Callithrix jacchus: one gene and its partner. Each later gene encodes a partner of the first gene's protein in a complex. Links are inferred from orthologs where the notes say so. Each region holds a gene or a part of one and is shown on either strand. Other genes may lie near its edges.

Evidence for each region.
Region 2: the proteins of MDC1 (region 1) and PELI1 are in contact, whole or in part, in a crystal structure (PDB 9IF9), measured with the Homo sapiens proteins. The link is inferred for Callithrix jacchus from reciprocal best matches to the Homo sapiens genes MDC1 and PELI1. Residues at the interface, in NP_055456.2 of Homo sapiens: Glu761, Asp762, Ser763, Glu764, Thr765, Gln766, Pro767, Phe768, Asp769; in NP_065702.2 of Homo sapiens: Arg104, Ser105, Thr106, Glu107, Thr115, Asp116, Val130, Gln131, Ser132, Thr133, Ile134, Ser135, Arg136, Phe137, Thr185, Asn186, Thr221, Arg222, Ser223, Ala224, Cys247.

The regions. Positions count from the first base shown.
Region 1 is NC_133505.1:35,493,600-35,501,857, reverse strand, and holds the end of MDC1 (mediator of DNA damage checkpoint protein 1), read left to right. Parts: coding exon 1-2,208; intron 2,209-2,291; coding exon 2,292-2,411; intron 2,412-2,538; coding exon 2,539-2,721; intron 2,722-2,947; coding exon 2,948-3,073; intron 3,074-3,162; coding exon 3,163-3,273; intron 3,274-4,850; coding exon 4,851-5,018; 3' UTR 5,019-5,666; downstream 5,667-8,258. UniProt on the Homo sapiens protein: Histone reader protein required for checkpoint-mediated cell cycle arrest in response to DNA damage within both the S phase and G2/M phases of the cell cycle.
Region 2 is NC_133515.1:49,792,211-49,800,842, forward strand, and holds the start of PELI1 (E3 ubiquitin-protein ligase pellino homolog 1), read left to right. Parts: upstream 1-3,964; 5' UTR 3,965-4,301; intron 4,302-4,894; exon of another isoform or gene 4,895-5,044; intron 5,045-8,632. UniProt on the Homo sapiens protein: E3 ubiquitin ligase catalyzing the covalent attachment of ubiquitin moieties onto substrate proteins. Involved in the TLR and IL-1 signaling pathways via interaction with the complex containing IRAK kinases and TRAF6.

The DNA of each region.
Region 1 (8,258 bases):
GAAACAGTTGTCCCCACAGCCCCTGAGCCCCACCCTTCCACCTCCAGAGACCAGCCTGTCACTCCCAAGCCCACATCTCAGGCCACTAGGGGCAAGACAAATAGGTCCTCTATCAAGACCCCTGAAACATTTGTACCTACAGCCCCTGAGCTCCAGCCTTCCACCTCCACAAACCAACTTGTCACCCATGAGTTTACGTCTTGGGCTACTAGGGGCAGGACAAATAGGTCCTCTGTCAAGACCCCTGAATCAACTGTCCCTGTAGCCCCTGAGCTCCCACCTTCCACCTCCACAGACCAGCCTGTCACCCCTGAGCCCACATCTCGGACCACTAGGGGCAGGACAAATAAGTCCTCTGTCAAGACTCCTGAATCAGTTGTATCCACAGCCCCTGAGCTCCAACCTTGCACCTCCACAGACCAGCTTGTCACCCCTGAGCCCACATCTCAGACCACTAGGGGCAGGACAAATAAGTCCGCTGTCAAGTCCCCTGAATCAGTTGTATCCACAGCCCCTGAGCTCCAACCTTGCACCTCCACAGACCAGCTTGTCACCCCTGAGCCCACATCTCGGGCTACTAGAGGAAGAAAAAATAGATCCTCTGTCAAGAACCCTGAACGAGTTATCTCCACAGCCCCTGAGCTCCAGGCCTCCACCTCCACAGACCAGCCTGTCACCCCTGAGCCTACATCTCAGGCTACTAGGCGAAGAAAAAATAGGTCCTCTGTCAAGACCCCTGAAACAGTAGTCCCCATAGCCTCTGAGCTCCAGGCTTCTGCCTTCACAGACCAGCCTGTCACCCCTGAGCCCACATCTCAGGCTACTAGGGGAAGAAAAAATAGGCCCTCTGTCAAGACCCCTGAAACAGTTGTCCCCATAGCCTCTGAGCTCCAGGCTTCTGCCTCCACAGACCAGCCTGTCACCCCTGAGCCCACATTTCAGGCTACTAGGGGAAGAAAAAATAGGTCCTCTGTCAAGACCCCTGAAACAGTTGTCCCCATAGCCTCTGAGCTCCAGGCTTCTGCCTCCACAGACCAGCCTGTCACCCCTGAGCCCACATCTCAGGCTACTAGGGGAAGAAAAAATAGGCCCTCTGTCAAGACCCCTGAAACAGTTGTCCCCATAGCCTCTGAGCTCCAGGCTTCTGCCTCCACAGACCAGCCTGTCACCCCTGAGCCCACATCTCGGACCACTAGGGGCAGGACAAACAGGTCCTCTGTCAAGACCCCTGAATCAGTCGTACCCACAGCCCCTGAGCTCCAGGTTTCTGCCTCCACAGTTCAACCTGTAACCCCTGAGCCTACATCTCAGACCACTAGGGGCAGGACAAATAGGTCCTCTGTCAAGACCCCTGAATCAGTTGTCCCTATAGCCCCTGAGCTCCAGCCTTCGACCTCCAGAAACCAGCTTGTCACCCCTGAGCCCACATCTAGGGCCACTAGGGGCAGGACAGATGGGTCTTCTGTCAGGACCCCTGAACCAGTTGTCCCCACAGCCCCTGAGCCCCTTCCTACAACCTCCATAGACCAGCCTGTCACACCTAAGCCCACATCTAGAGCCACTAGAGGAAGAGTAAATAGGTCCTCTGTCAAGACTCCCAAACCAGTTGAACCAGCAGCCTCTAATCTTGAGCCTCTTATCCCCACAGACCTGCCTGTCACCCCTGAGGCCATAGCTCAGGGTAGTCAGAGCAAAACACTGAGGTCTTCTATAGTAAGTGCTGTGTCCGTTCCTACCACCCTTGAATTCCAGTCCCCTGTTACCACAGATCAGCCTATTTCCCCTGAGCCTATTCCTCAAGCTAGTTGCAGCAAGAGGCAGAGAGTCATTGGGAATCCTGGCTCCCTCAAAACTCCCATTGACCATAAGCCTTGCTCTGCACCCCTGGAAACTAAATCCCAGGCCTCAAGGAACCAAAGATGGGGAGCAGTTAGAGAAGCTGAATCCCTTACAGCCATTCCTGAGCCTGCCTCTTTCCAGCTTCTTGAGACACCAACTCATGCCTCCCAGATCCAAAAGGTGGAAGCAGTAGGTAGATCTAGGTTTACCTCAGAGCCCCAGCCTAAGGTCTCTCAAAGCCGCAAGAGGGCTTTTGCTACCACGGATTCACCACCACTTCAAAAACAGCCCCGAAGAGAAGTCTCCCAGAAGACAGTGTTTCTCAAGGAAGAGTTAGAAGATACTACAGAGAAGCCAGGGAAAGAAGAGGTGAGGAGAAGGCTGGGACCACAAAGCTGGGAAAAAGGGCTTCAGGGCTCTGAAACTCCCACTAAGATTTTTCTCTATCTCAGGATGTCATGACTCCAAAACCAGGCAAGAAAAAGAGAGACCAGGCAGAGGAGGAGCCCAATAGCATACAGAGCCGCAGCCTCCGACGGACCAAATTTACCCGGGAATCAACAGCCCCCAAAGTAAGAGACAAGGGCATGAGACTTTGTGGGAGACAGAGATGAGGGGAGGATACAAGGAGACCTCGGGGACTGTAGAGATGCTGATGGCATAGGTTGCTGTGACCACCTCAGGCCAACCCTTCCACAGGTGCTCTTCACAGGAGTGGTGGATGCCCAGGGAGAGCGGGCCGTGCTGGCACTGGGGGGAAGTCTGGCTGATTCAGCGGCAGAGGCTTCCCACCTGGTCACTGATCGAATCCGCCGGACAGTCAAGTTCCTGTGTGCCCTGGGGCGGGGAATCCCCATTCTCTCCCTGGACTGGCTGCATCAGGTGAGAGGCCAAGAGATGATGACAGACCAATATAGTGACAAGACTGCTCATGTAGCACCCTAGAAAATGGTAGGGAGGAAGAGGAGTTACAGGAAGACAGAGACATTAGTGAGGCAGGAGCCTGAATTTATTTAAAAGATATTTTGTGAGCTCTCTATAAATGCTAGGCAGCAGAGCTGGGTGAGGGGCTGGGCTGAGTTTTGATGCTGACTGCTGCCATCCTTAGTCCCGCAAGGCTGGTTGCTTCTTACCCCCGGATGAATATGTGGTGACTGATCCTGAGCAAGAGAAGAACTTTGGCTTTAGCCTTCAAGATGCTCTGAGCCGGGCTCGGGAGCGAAGGCTGCTGGAGGTGAGAGGCTATCTTTTGATTGGTGCTTCAACCCTCCCTCCAGTGCTTCCCAACATACATCTACTGCCTCCACCATTTCTTTCTCTTAGGGCTATGAGATCCATGTGACCCCTGGAGTCCAGCCACCACCACCTCAGATGGGAGAGATCATCAGCTGCTGTGGAGGCACTGTCCTACCCAGCATGCCTCGGTCCTATAAGGTATAGTTAGGATGCTCTGGGTCTGGGTGAGGTGGCAGTGGCAGTTAAAGAGGTGGCTGGAATGGCAACGGTTGGGGGGGGAAATGGAGGTACAGAAAGGAATATAGAGTAGAGAGAGGGTGGGGGAAAAACCTATGGTATAGAAAGGGATAGGAATGAGGAGAGAGATCTGCTGATACCCCTAACAATCATCAATCAGCAGCTTAGTTTAGATTACATTACATTTGCTCCATCTATCTCTTTTTTCCTTTGATTTTCTTTGCCGAAGTATTTTCTTTTTTTTATTCTTTCTTTTTTTCCTTTTTTTTGCTGAAGTATTTTAAAGCAAACTGCCAATATTATATTATTTCTTCCTACATACTTAAGTATACATATTTAAGAAATGTGTACATTTTATTTCATAATCACAGTGACATTATTGATCCAAAACAAAATTAACAATAGTTTATTGATTATTTGCTCACACTCCATTAATAAAATGTCTCCCGGCCAGGCGCGGTGGCTCACGCCTGTAATCCCAGCACTTTGGGAGGCCGAGGCCGGTGGATCACCAGGTCAAGAGATCGAGACCATCCTGGTCAACATGGTGAAACGCCGTCTCTACTAAAAATACAAAAAATTAGCTGGGCATGGTGGCGCGTGCCTGTAATCCCAGCTACTCAGGAGGCTGAGGCAGGAGAATTGCCTGAACCTAGGAGGCGGAGGTTTCGGTGAGCCGAGATTGCGCCATTGCACTCCAGCCTGGGTAACAAAAGTGAAATTCCATCTCAAAAAAAAAATAATAATAAAATAAAATAAATAAAATGTCTCCTGTTGTCTGAAAAATGTCTCTATACAGTTGTTCAAATCAGGATTCGAATAAGGTCCACATACTGCCACATCTATTACCCTCTGAATTCTCTTTACTCTAGAGCATTCCTTAACTCACCCAGCCTTTATTATACCATCAATTTCCTGCAGAAACTGGGTCACTTTTCCTTTAGAATGTTCCTCAGTATGGATTTTTGAGTTTGCCTCCTTGTTGTATCTTGTTCCTCTGTGTTCCATATTCCTGGAAATTGTAGATAATTGTAAAAGCTTGAATAAATTGATTTCATCTTTCTAGCAAGAGTATTTCTTTCTTTTTTTTTTTTTTTTTTTGAGACTGAGTCTCGCTTTGTTGCCAGGCTGGAGTACAGTGGTGCTATCTCTGCTCACTGCAACCTTCCCCTCCTGGATTCAAGCGATTCTCCTGCCTCAGCCCCCAGAGTAGCTGTGACTACAAGCATGCGCCACCACACCCAGCTAATTTTTGTATTTTTAGTAGAGACGGGGTTTCGCCATGTTGGCCAGGATGGTCTCCATCTCTTGACCTCATGATCCACTCACCTCGACCTCCCAAAGTGCTGGGATTACAGGCATGAGCCACCATGCCCAACCTCTAGCAAGAATATTTTATAGACAGTTTGCAGTATGCTTCACGTGGCTTCATATTAGGAGGTACTATTTTAGTGATACTAAGACTGGTTAGTGGGTCCAGAACCCATTTTTAGGATTCTTTTTCACCCCTAATTTTGTTTTTGCTCTGTCTTCCCCAGCCTCAGAGAGTTGTGATCACATGCTCCCAGGACTTCCCTCGATGCTCTGTTCCACGACGGGTTGGGCTGCCCCTCCTCTCACCTGAGTTCCTGCTGACTGGAGTGCTGAAGCAGGAAGCCAAGCCAGAGGCCTTTGTCCTTTCCCCTTTGGAGATGTCATCCACCTGAGACCTCCACTACCCTTTTACCTCCATTAAATAAAATATTAGAAGATATTTGGAAGAAAGAACTTAGGACGTTAGAAAGGATTGGGGTATATTGATATGACTTGTCCTGGAACATAGGGTGGGACCAGAAATATTTATGAATAAATGAAAAGATAAGGCAATTGGGACCACAGAGTTTTTGTTTTTTTTTTTAATGGCCATTTTATTTTATCTCTACTTGTATGTTTTTATTTGTATAGATTTAGGGGCTACAAGAGCAGATTTCTTGCATGCATTTATTAAATGGCCATTTTAAAATGAGCTTGTTTCATGCTCAGATGTCTTAAGTGGCAGCTATCTTTAGCCAGACTGTTATTGCTTGTTGGTACTCACGGTGTCCTACCTCCTATTTGGAAACCATCTCTATTGTTTTCTTACTGGGATTCTTACTTTGGGGTCAGGAACTTGAAGGGATGCTTAGAGTGAGTAGATATGAAAGTCCAGTTATAGAGTGCTACTCAAACATTTTTCTCTCTCTCAGTCTCTGGGAGGATCTTTAGCTTTGACTTTGGGCAAGCCTCTGTACTTTTCTGGCCTGCTTTTCCAGAACTTATAAAATTAGACCTTAGGCTTGACCTCTGTGATAAATAAATATTCACTCTGTGCCTTATGTTGTAGTGCAGTTTTTAAAAATGTCTAGGTCTCAAGACAAAGTCAGGGACTTATATTTAATTCATCATTATCTTCTATTTAGGGCAAATTATATAGCATTTCTTAAATTTTTTTTTCTTGAGACAGGGACTTAACTCTGTCACTCAGGCTGGAGTGCAGTGGTGCTGTCTCAGCTCAGTGCAACATCCACCTCCTGGGTTCAAGCAATACTCCCACCTCAGCCTTCCAAGTAGCTTGGACTACAGGCACCCACCACCATGCGCAGCTAATTTTTAATATTTTCTCTTTTTTTTTGTATTGTTTGGTAGAGACGGGATTTCACCAGATTGGCCAGGCTGGTCTCGAACTCCTGACCTCAAATGATCCACCCACCTCAGCCTTCCAAAGTGCTGGGATTACAGTAGAGCCAACATGCCCAGCCAAATTGGGATGTGGAGAAATTAGAATCCTTACACATTGCTGGTAGGAATGTAAAATGGTTTGGCCTCTATGGTAAACGATCTGATGGTTCGTCAAAAAGTTAAACATCTGGCCAGGCACAGTGGCTTACACGTGTAATCCCAGCACTTTGGGAGGCCAAGGTGGGCGGATCACTTGAACTCAGGAGTTCAAGACCAGCCTGGGCAACATGGCAAAACCTTCTCTACCAAAAATACAAAAATTGGCCTGGCATGGTGGCACATGTCTGTGGTCGCAGCTACTTGGGAGGCTGAGAGGAAAATCGTTTGAGCCCAGGAGGTCAAGACTGCAGTGAGCTGAGATTGAGCCACTGCACTTCAGCCTGGGCAGGAGAGTGAGACCTTGTCTCAATAAAAAAAAAAATCCTGGTTGTGGTGACTCATGCCTGTAATCCCAGAACTGTGAGAGGCCAAGATGGACAGATCACCTGAGGTCAGGAGTCCGAGACCAGCCTGGCCAATGTGGTGAAACCCATCTCTACTAAAACTACAAAAATTAGCTGGGTGTAGTGGCATGTGCCTGCAATCCCAGCTATTTGGGTGGCTGAGGCAGGAAAATCTCCGGAACCTGGAAGGTGGAGCTTGCAATGAGCCAAGATTTCGCCACTGCACTCCAGCCTGGGTGACAGAGCAAGACTCAGTCTCAAAAAAAAAAAAAAAAAAGCCTCTTTTCTGGCTGGAACCATTTAGGGTGTTGTAGAGAAGAAAAAGAAGGTTCCTACTAGGCCAGAATTTAAAATGCAAAGGAATTTCGCAGAGCCAAAGATCAATGGCCTGAGAAAGAAATTTGCCCAAAAGATGCTTCAAAAAGCAAGATCGCTTATCTATGAAAAAGCAAAGCACTATCACAAGGAATATAGGCAAATGGACAGAACTGAAATTCACGTGGCAAGGATGGCTAGAAAAGCTGGCAACTTCTATGTACCTGCAAAACCCAAAGTGATGTTTGTCATCAGGATCAGAGGTATCGATGCTGAGCCCAAAGGTCTGAAAGCTGTTGTAGCTTCTTTGCCTTTGTCAAATCTTCAGTGGAACCTTTGTGAAGCTTAACAAGGCTTCAGTTAACATGCTGAGGATTGCAGAACGATATATTGCATGGAGGTACCCAAATCTGAAGTCAGTAAATGAACTAATCTACCAGTGTGGTTATGGCAAAATCAGTAAGAAGCAAATTGCTTTGACAGATAACACCTTGATTGCTCAATCTCTTGGTAAATATGGCATCACCTGCATGGAAGATCTGATTCATGCGATCTATACTGTAGGAAAATGCTTCAAAGAAGCAAATAACTTCTTGTGATCCTTCAGATTATCCTTTCCACAAGGTGGAATGAAGAAAAAGACCACCCATTTTGTAGAAAGTGGAGATGCTGGCAACAGGGAGGACCAGATCAACAGGCTTATTAGAATAATGAACTAAGTGGTCTACCATGATTGTTTTTCTAATTAGTCATTTAAATAATACCTGCTCTTAGCCAAGCATGGTGGCTCATGCCTGTAATCCCAGCACTGGGAGGCTGAGGTGGGTGGATCACCTGAGGTCAGGAGTTCGAAACCAACTTGACCAACATGGAGAAACCCTGTCTCTACTAAAAATATTTAAAAAATTAGCCGGGCCTGGTGGTGCATGCTTGCAATCCCAGCTACTTGGAAGACTGAGGCAGAATAATTGCTTGAACCTGGGATGCAGAGGTTGCAGTGAACCGAGATCAAGCCATTGCACTCCAGCCTGGACAACAAGAGCGAAACTCCATCTCAAAAAAAATAAATAAATAAAACAGTACCTGCTCTCTACTTGGAGGGAAAAAAAAGTTAAACATGAAATTACCAAATTATCCAGCAATTCTGCTCTAGGTGAATACCCAAAAGAATTTAAAACAGGTGTCCAGGCTGGGTGTGATGCCTCATGCCTGTAATCCTAGCACTTTGGGAGGCTGAGACAGGAGGATTGCATGATCCCAGGAGTTCATGGGCAACCAGCCTGGGCAACATGGCAAAACCCCATCTTTACAAAAAATACAAAAATGGGTCAGGCATGGTGGCTCATCCCTGTAATCCTAGCACTTTGGGAGGCCAAGGTGGGTGGGTCACCTGAGGTCGAGAGTTCAAGACCAACCTGAACAACATGGCAA
Region 2 (8,632 bases), on another chromosome or scaffold:
AATCGCCACACCATCTTCCACAATGGTTGAACTAATTTACACTCCCACCAACAGTGTAAAAGTGTTCCTTTTTCTCCACATCCTCTCCAGCATCTGTTGTCTCCAGATTTTTTAATGATCGCCATTCTAACTGGCGTGAGATGGTATCTCAATGTGGTTTTGATTTGCATCTCTCTGAAGAAGGTTTTTTTCTTTCAACACTTTGGAAATGGCTTTTCATGGTCTTCTGAATTGCACAGTTTCTGATTAGAAGTCTACTGATATTTTGTGTTTGTTCGTCTATACATATTATGCCTTTTTCCTCTGGCTGCTTTTAACATTTTCATATTATTGGTTTTCAACAATTTAACAGTGATGTCTTTTGTAGTGTTTTTTGGGAGTGTGTGTTTACCCTGCTTAGGGCTCACTGAGCTTCTTGAATCTGTGGGTTTATAATTTTCATCAAATGTGAAAATATTTTCAGCTCTATTACTTCAAATAATTTTTCTGTCACCATCTGACCCATCTCTCATCTGGAACTCCAATTACACAAATATTACAGCACTTGGTGTTATCCCATAAAGCACTGAGGCTCTGTTTTGGGGGATATTTTTTCAGATTTTTTTTCTTTCTCTGCTTTCCTTTGGCTACATTCTACTGCTGTTTTCAAGTGCACTAATCTTTTCTTCTGAGTGTCTCTAATTTGCTCTGTGTCTAATCTGCGTCTGAGCGTTAATCCTATCCAGTGAAATTATTTCAGAAGTTGTCATTTTAATTCTAGAAATTCAATTCTTTATATCTTTAATTTCTCTCTTTCAGCATACTGAGCATACTTATCACAATTGTTTTAATGTTGTTGACTGCTAATTCTAACATCTCTGTCATTTGTGGCTTTATGTTGACTGACTCTCCTCCTGGTTGTAAATTACATTTTCCTGCTTCTTTGTTATCTCCTAGTTCTCTTGCTACTTCCCAGGCATTTTCACAATCTTCCTGCCTACACCTTAAGTGCTGATGTTCTCTAAGTTGTTATTATTGACTTTTCTTTTACTGCTGTGCATACTCTCCATGGGTGATCTCATCCATTGCCATAATTTCAACAGCCATTTATATGATGGTATATTCCAATTATATCTTCTACTGCCCAAATCTCTCTCCAGAGCCCAAGAGTCATATACATAACTGATCACTAGCTCATAAGCACACAATTCAGAAATCTGGGATCCATCCTTCGCTTCCTCCTTGTCGTAGACACTGTAGCCCACTTCTCAGACTCCAAGCTTCTTTTTCTGTATAATCAGCTCAATTTTCACTGGGATATATACACCTCATCACAGCTTTGGGAGAAGCTGACTTCTGTGGCTCTAAGGGTAGGCTCATGTCTTCATCCTAAGATAATTATACTTGTGCCATCTCCTGGCAGCCATTTTTGGTTTATATATGGACATATGATTAAATCACTGAAGCTTCTGGGAAAGGAGTTTTCTTTCCTTTACAAAAGCGCTTCCAAAGGTGATTCTTTTTCCTATCTCTTCTGGACCCAAAAAAACGAAACTTAAAGATACAGGAGTTGTTGGCAACCATCATCTGAAGATAAAGCTAATACTAAAGAAGAAAAAAACAATTAAAATGAGAAAAAATGCCTTTAATGACAACTCTGAGTTGTTGAATCAGTCACCCTTATAGCCTGCCTTTTTCCTGAACTTTCTAGCTAGATGGTTATAAATCTCCTTTATTGATTAAGCCAGTTAGAGCTGGATTTTCTGCTGCTTTCAACCACAAGCATCATAATTCAAAACTTTCCTTTTCCCTTCACCCCAAACATAGGCAATTAGTCACTATGTTCTATTCCCTTGAATAGTGTCTGATTACCCTCAGTTTTCTCTTCTGCCACTGTCAGGCCTTGGCTCAGTCTCTCATTGTTTTTTTCCCCTGTAATACTGTAACCGGCCCCATACATGCCATACTCCACAGAGTGATCTTTCTAAAATGCATTTCTTATCAAAATTTCATCTGCTTACAATCCTTGTGTGGTTCCCATTGTTTCTAGGAAAAAGTCCATGTTCCTTAGCATATCATGCAAAATTCTTCATTACCCTAAGCTGTCTCGCTTACCTTTTTCAGTGTCTCCTCTTGTCACTCCCTCAACTCCATTCAACTATCAGCAATGCTGAACTATTTGCTGAGCCAAAATATGTTTTGGTCTCACATCTCTAGGTCTATGTACTTGCTGCTCTCCCCAACACCACCCCCAATGCTCTCACCCACCTCTCTCTTCCTCCTCCCCTACCAAAATATACAAACATGCTAATTCCTAGTTATCTTAAGTGATCTTTGAAGCATTTCCTAATTTTGCCCAAATCTGGGAGTAGCTGTGCACTTTCCTCTTATAGTAATTCTCATATTAGGTCTATTTACCTGTCTCCTCCTTTGCATAGTAAACATTTTGAAATTAAGAATGTTTCTTTTACATTCTTGTATCTCTATTTCTGGGGCTCAATACAGTGCCTAGCACAAGTAGACACTCAACAAGCATTTTTTGAATGAGTGTATAATTATCTAGTCTGTTGATATAAGGATTTCTGATCTTGAGACTCTATTTGAAAACTCTGCTCCAAATGTGTGTCTGATTCCTAAGCATTAACCTTTTTCTTCCAGGTTAATGGAAGAAAAGGTTGGGGTTCTAGGTAGGCGGAGAAGGAAAACAAAAGAGCTCCGGAGGCATTGCCTTCAGCACTCTGGAGAGCCAGTAATGTGTCCTGCCTTTCTCCACCCTCTTCCCTACCACCTATCCATCCACACCTGGGTGCCCAAGATGGGTGTAGACTTAACTGACCAGCCCAGCAACATACTCATACCTTGGTTCAGACTTCACTTATTACTAAACTAAGGTTGGCCAATACATATAAACAATTTTCTTTCTTTTTTTTTGAGACGGAGTTTCGCTCTTGTTACCCAGGCTGGAGTGCAATGGCACGATCTTGGCTCACCGCAACCTCCGCCTCCTGGGTTCAAGCAATTCTCCTGCCTCAGCCTCCTGAGCAGCTGGGATTACAGACACGCGCCACCATGCCCAGCTAATTTTTTGTGTTTTTAGTAGAGACGGGGTTTCACCATGTTGACCAGGATAGTCTCGATCTCTTGACTTTGTGATTCACCCACCTCGGCCTCCCAAAGTGCTGGGATTACAGGCTTGAGCCACTGTGCCTGGCCAACAATTTTCAACTTGTCTTTTGAACTTATACTTTATGAAATTTGTATGCCTTAAAATGAACAAATCCGGATTCTTTTATAGTAATCAAGTAAAATATAGAAATCTTAATTCTGCACTTTACCTTTGCTAATCTAAAGTTAGATGTTACTAATTGAGCAAAGTAATTAGTTACAGGATTTTGATAGTGGTGATATTCCTAAGTTTTATAACCTAATTGTTCAATTACTGAAATCAACTACGTTTTTACAAGTGTTAGGTAAAGAAAACTGAATTTAGACAGAGAAGATTCAATTGAGGGAAGCGAGGGACAGAGGTATTTGTGACTTAAGAGTTTGTGAAAAATAAATTAGGCAGCAGGGAACACTGAAATATCGAGAGGAAGTTAGATCTCACTGGGCACTTATGAGCGGTGAGGCTAGGAATGGGGTGGAGCGAAGTAGGAAGGACAGGCTAAGAGCTGGATCCACAGCAGCACCATAATACAAGATCGCCCTTGTTCAGCCAACAACAGCACTAAACACGTTCGCTAAGTGTGACCACGGTAACAGTGGGAGGGGCGGCCCAAACCTCGCCCTCGAGCATGCTCAGTGCAGAACGAGCCTGGTCGGGTGCTGAGCAACAATGCATCCCTTTTTTTCTTCAGCTGGGGAACTACAATTCCCAAGAGCCCATTTGGTGCAGCGACACCGCCTCCCGCTGTGGCACTGCCCCGTCCCCTCCCTCAGTCCCCGCCTTCCGGCTAGTCCCCTCCCCTCCCTGAGAGTGTGTGTCAGTGACCCAGAGGTGGTGTGAGGCGGACGGACCGTCGGGGGGCGCCGCCGCTGCCGCCGCCACCAGCAGCAGCAGCGCCAACCGAGCGGCACAGTGGAATTCGTCCCCAGCCCTCGGGGAGCGCATCACAAAGCAGCCCCCACACCTCTCCTTGCGTCTGCGGCTCCTCAGCCCTCGGCTCTGCGGTCAACTTCCCCTCACTGGGCTCGGCCGGCTGGCGCGGAGGGCAGCAGCGAAACGGCGGGCTGTCTGCTCGCGCTCCCCGCGCACAACACTTCACCCTTTTGCCTCGGGTGTCGGGGGCCACGCTTGGATCACGGCCACCAGCAATTGTCCGGTGAGTGTGGCCGCGGGGAGCCCAGGGATGGATGGCGGCGGAGCCGCCGAGGGGCGCGGGGAGGGTGGGTGTGCAACTTCCTCGGCGGCTTCCCCCGGCGACCAGTCTGCCGGCTCTCACCGCCCGCCTGCGCGCCCTCGCGGCGGCGGGGAGCGGAGTTTACGGCGGGCGCCTCCATCCCGCGCCCTGGCAGGAGGAAGCGCCTTTGTCAAGAGCCGGCCCTGCGCGGCCTCCCCCTCCGCCTAGGAGCGGGGTGCGAGGCGGCCAACTCCGAGCCCCGCGCCTAGCAGGCCGCGCACTCCGGTTTCAGCTTCGAGAGGAGAGCTCAGCGGGTAGCGAGGAAAGGGAAATGGGAGAAACAAAAGGGGCGGTGGGTTTCCCTTTTGTTTGTGAGGATCTGATAACTTCTTTTTGTCCCTTACATAACGCAGACTTCCAAGTTAGTCATTCTTTTTACTATGATTGTTGTCATCATCTATGCGCGTCTCTCACATTTCCTTTCATCTTTGGATCTCAGAGCATTTTAAACAAGCTAATTAATTTCACCCCCGGGCTCCCTAGGAAACAAGTTAATACGCCCGTTTCCCTAAGAGGGTAAACTGAGGTCATGGAAAGCTCTCTAACTGATGGATACGCTTGATCTTCTACCGCGCCTGGTGTCTGAGGATATGAAAGCATTTACGAAGAGGAACCCGTTCTCCAATGCCCCGTGGAAAAGTTAAAGATGCTCATTTTACTTACAGGTTAACTGAAGTCCAAAAGAAGTCTACGTAATTGTTATGTAGTTCAAACCATAATTCTTCTTACATAGCGTTCGAATCTTAAAACCATAAAAGACTTATTGAAAAATGCTCCGAGTAGGGAAATTAATGTAAATCATAAACTCACGTCACCATCTACTTTTATTTTTGTACGTGTAGGTCTCTTAGAGGCAAGAGAGCAAGAATGGAAAAGAGTGCAGAGGTTTTTTTTAAAAATGTACAGTACATTTAACAGATTTTAATCACTACACACAAGGAAATGTGTCTTGGTTTTAACAGCACCGACAATATTCCTGTCGTTTAGTCATCAAACAGTATATCAACAAATATTATTGAGCACTTTATTCATAAGGTGCTGGTTGTGCTAAAAACTGAAGCTTTGTGTATAAGAAAAGGTCATCTGTTTCAGTTCAGACTCTTTACTTTTTCTTACTCTGCAAAATGTTACTTTGTTTTCATTGCACATAATCTTTTGTTTCAGAAATGGCATTGTCCCTTACTATGTTGAATATGTATTACTCTTATACTTAAGGAGATATGAATTCATTATTCAGTTTTCATAATAGGGTGAATTTAAAATTTTTTAATTGCGGAAGATGTTCACGTTATTCAGTTGTTTCAGTTTTTCTGTTTCCTTTATAGCCAACAGAAAATATTTTCTGAGTGATCAGATTTACATGTCTCGAAACATAAAATGTTGTTCTTATTAACAGCATATGAATTCCTTATGTTTTTTTTTTCTCTTTTTTTGCGACAAGTCTCACCCAGACTGGAGTGCAGCGGCAGGATCTCGGCTCACTGCAACCTCCGCCTCCTTGGTTCAGGCATTTCTTTGCCTCAGCCTCCCAAGTAGCTGGGATTATAGGCACCCGCCACCACACCCAGCTAATTTTTATATTTTTAGTAGAGACAGGGTTTCACCATCTCGGCCAAGGCTGATCTTGAACTCCTGACCTCGTGATTCACCTGCCTCGGCCTCCCAAAGTGCTGGGATTACAGGCATGAGCAACAGCGCCCAGCCTCCTTATGCTTTTTTTTTTTTTTTTTTTTTTATACCAACAACCTTTTCTGGAGAAAAATCTTTAACTCTGAGGACCTTGTTTATTTTGTGAGTTGTTATTTTCTCTGTACCAACTGGAAAGTACCAAAAAATTAAATCAAGCATCACTTCTACTAGCTCTTTCCTCAGGTGAATAATGATCAGAACTATAGTAACAGTGAATTTCACCTACTCTAAATTCTCTTAATGTTGTACTGTGTATTTGTCCTTACATTTTAGATTTTGGTGGTTGCATCAGAAAATGAAAATGAGATGTTCGTTATTTTGTTATTCCCGCCTGTCCGCCCCCCCACCCCAGCCTAACCTGTTCCCTCTCTGGTATGTTAAAAGAGATCTTGAGTTTAAAACAAATAATTGGAAAGGAAAACAGTTATATGTATAGAAAGTTGCATGTAGTGAAGTGGTATAATGTCTCGTCTAGTGAATTTAACAGGTTTTAAAGAGAGAACTATCACCTAGCTTTTTATTAGCATGGTAGAAGTGCTGTAATGTAATAGTAGTAGTATTTATTGACTTCTACAAAGTAAGCTGGAAATTTGCCTCAGTGGAATTTGCAGGGGAAGTAACTCCGTCCTTTCCTTAAGATTGGCATTTAAATGTTCTTACTGTTGGTTATGCTGAACTTTTTCTGTCGTATTTGCAAGCCAGATTTACCAGGGACATTTGTACTTTAAGGAGGCTACTAATGCTGTCTTGACTTAGTCACTGGAGTCTGCAGGCAGAAGTTAGTGTTGACTGGCAAAGTCTGGCTGTGCAAGTTTCATAATTTCTTTGAGACTCCTGAAAGGAATGACTGAAAAGTATGGGACAGGAAGCTAGTCCAGTACTGCTGAATGCCACTGAGGCAAGTTTCAAAGGGGAAGCCCAAGGATGTTTCCATTTGATTTAGCTTTAGCCTCTTTCTGGGTTGTCAGAATGTCACTTTTGTATTTTAAGAATTCTGTCATTTCAGAATATGATTTATTATGGTTTTTTAGTAGGTCAGGTGATAAGGACTATAGACAGTTATTATGCTTTGTGGACAACTAATGTTTTTTGTTATTTATTTATTTATTGCATTTTAGGTTTTGGGGTACATGTGCAGAACATGCAAGATAGTTTCATAGGTACACATGTGGACAACTAATGTTTTTAGACAGAACCTTCTGTAGCTGATAAAGATTTTAAGCCAAAAGACTTAGAATTGAAAACTAACATATACATATAATTTTACCATAGTACATCAATGTAAACCTATCCTGTATTTATTAAGTTAGAAAGGCTTATATGGATTATTTTATTATACAAACATATTTAACAGTATATATTAAAATTTCATAGTGACCAATATATGATGGCACTGAGGTGGCTTGAGGAGTTTCTTTGAGGGGGAAAAAAGTGTAATTCCAAAAGTTACATTTATGTTTTTGAGGAGAATAAAGCAGATTTAAGAGCCAGTGGAAAACAGAAGAAAATCAACAAAGTGAAAAAAAACTAATGAAGATGTTTTTAAATAATATAATATGAAGATTCCTGGCAACATTCATATATGAGGGACAAAATTCTAGTTGAAGTCTATAAACAGTGAATTCCAGTTAGCACTTTCTGTTTATAGATTTCTAGCCATCTTTTCCAGATTCCCTCTGAATATATTACACAGGAAATGTAAATAGAAGTCATTCTTTCAAGGGACTTGGGTTCTTAGAGATTTTTTTTACACTTGTGGTAGTGGGGGAGGGGAGGTACTTAACTACATTTTCTTAGTTCAAGTGTGACCTCTGCCATAGAAAATTTCCCCAGACTAATGTGTGGCAACTTCAAGACAAGAAATATTGGTCACTGAAAGATCTGGATATGATTTCAAGTTCTGCCACTAGCTTTTGTTTTTTTTTTTTTGGTATGTTATCTTAAATAGATCACTTATATTTTTTCTTCAAAGGTTGAAAATAACTGCCTAACATATTATGTTTAGTAGGTCCTAAATACTTTTTGTTGTTTAATGAATTTACAGGTAATAAAGAGAAGGCACAATGCTTTTTGAATGTCAGGGATTTCTATTTTTTTTTCTTTTTTGATAGAAAAAGTAATCAAAACATAAACTTCTGATTGGAGTCTTTTTTTTTTTATTTGAGGTGGAGTCTTGCTCTGTTGCCAGGCTGGAGTGCAGTGATACAGTCTCAGCTCACTGCAACCTCCACCCCCTCTAGGTTCAAGTGATTCTCCTGCCTCAGCCTCCTGAGCAGCTGGGACTACAGGCATGTGCCACTACACCCAGCTAATTTTTGCATTTTTAGTAGAGCTGGGGTTTCACCATGTTGGCCAGGATGATCTTGATCTCTTGACCTTATGATCCGCCCACCTCAGCCTCCCAGAATGCTTGGATTACAGATATGAGCCACCATACCCAACCTGGAGTCTTTCAATTAGCATAGCTACCTTTGGAAATAAGCCTAGAGAAAAAGAGCTTCATCTGATAGTTTAACAGAAATGAATTGTAAATGACTCTAAGAAGAATTGACAGCTTTTTCAGA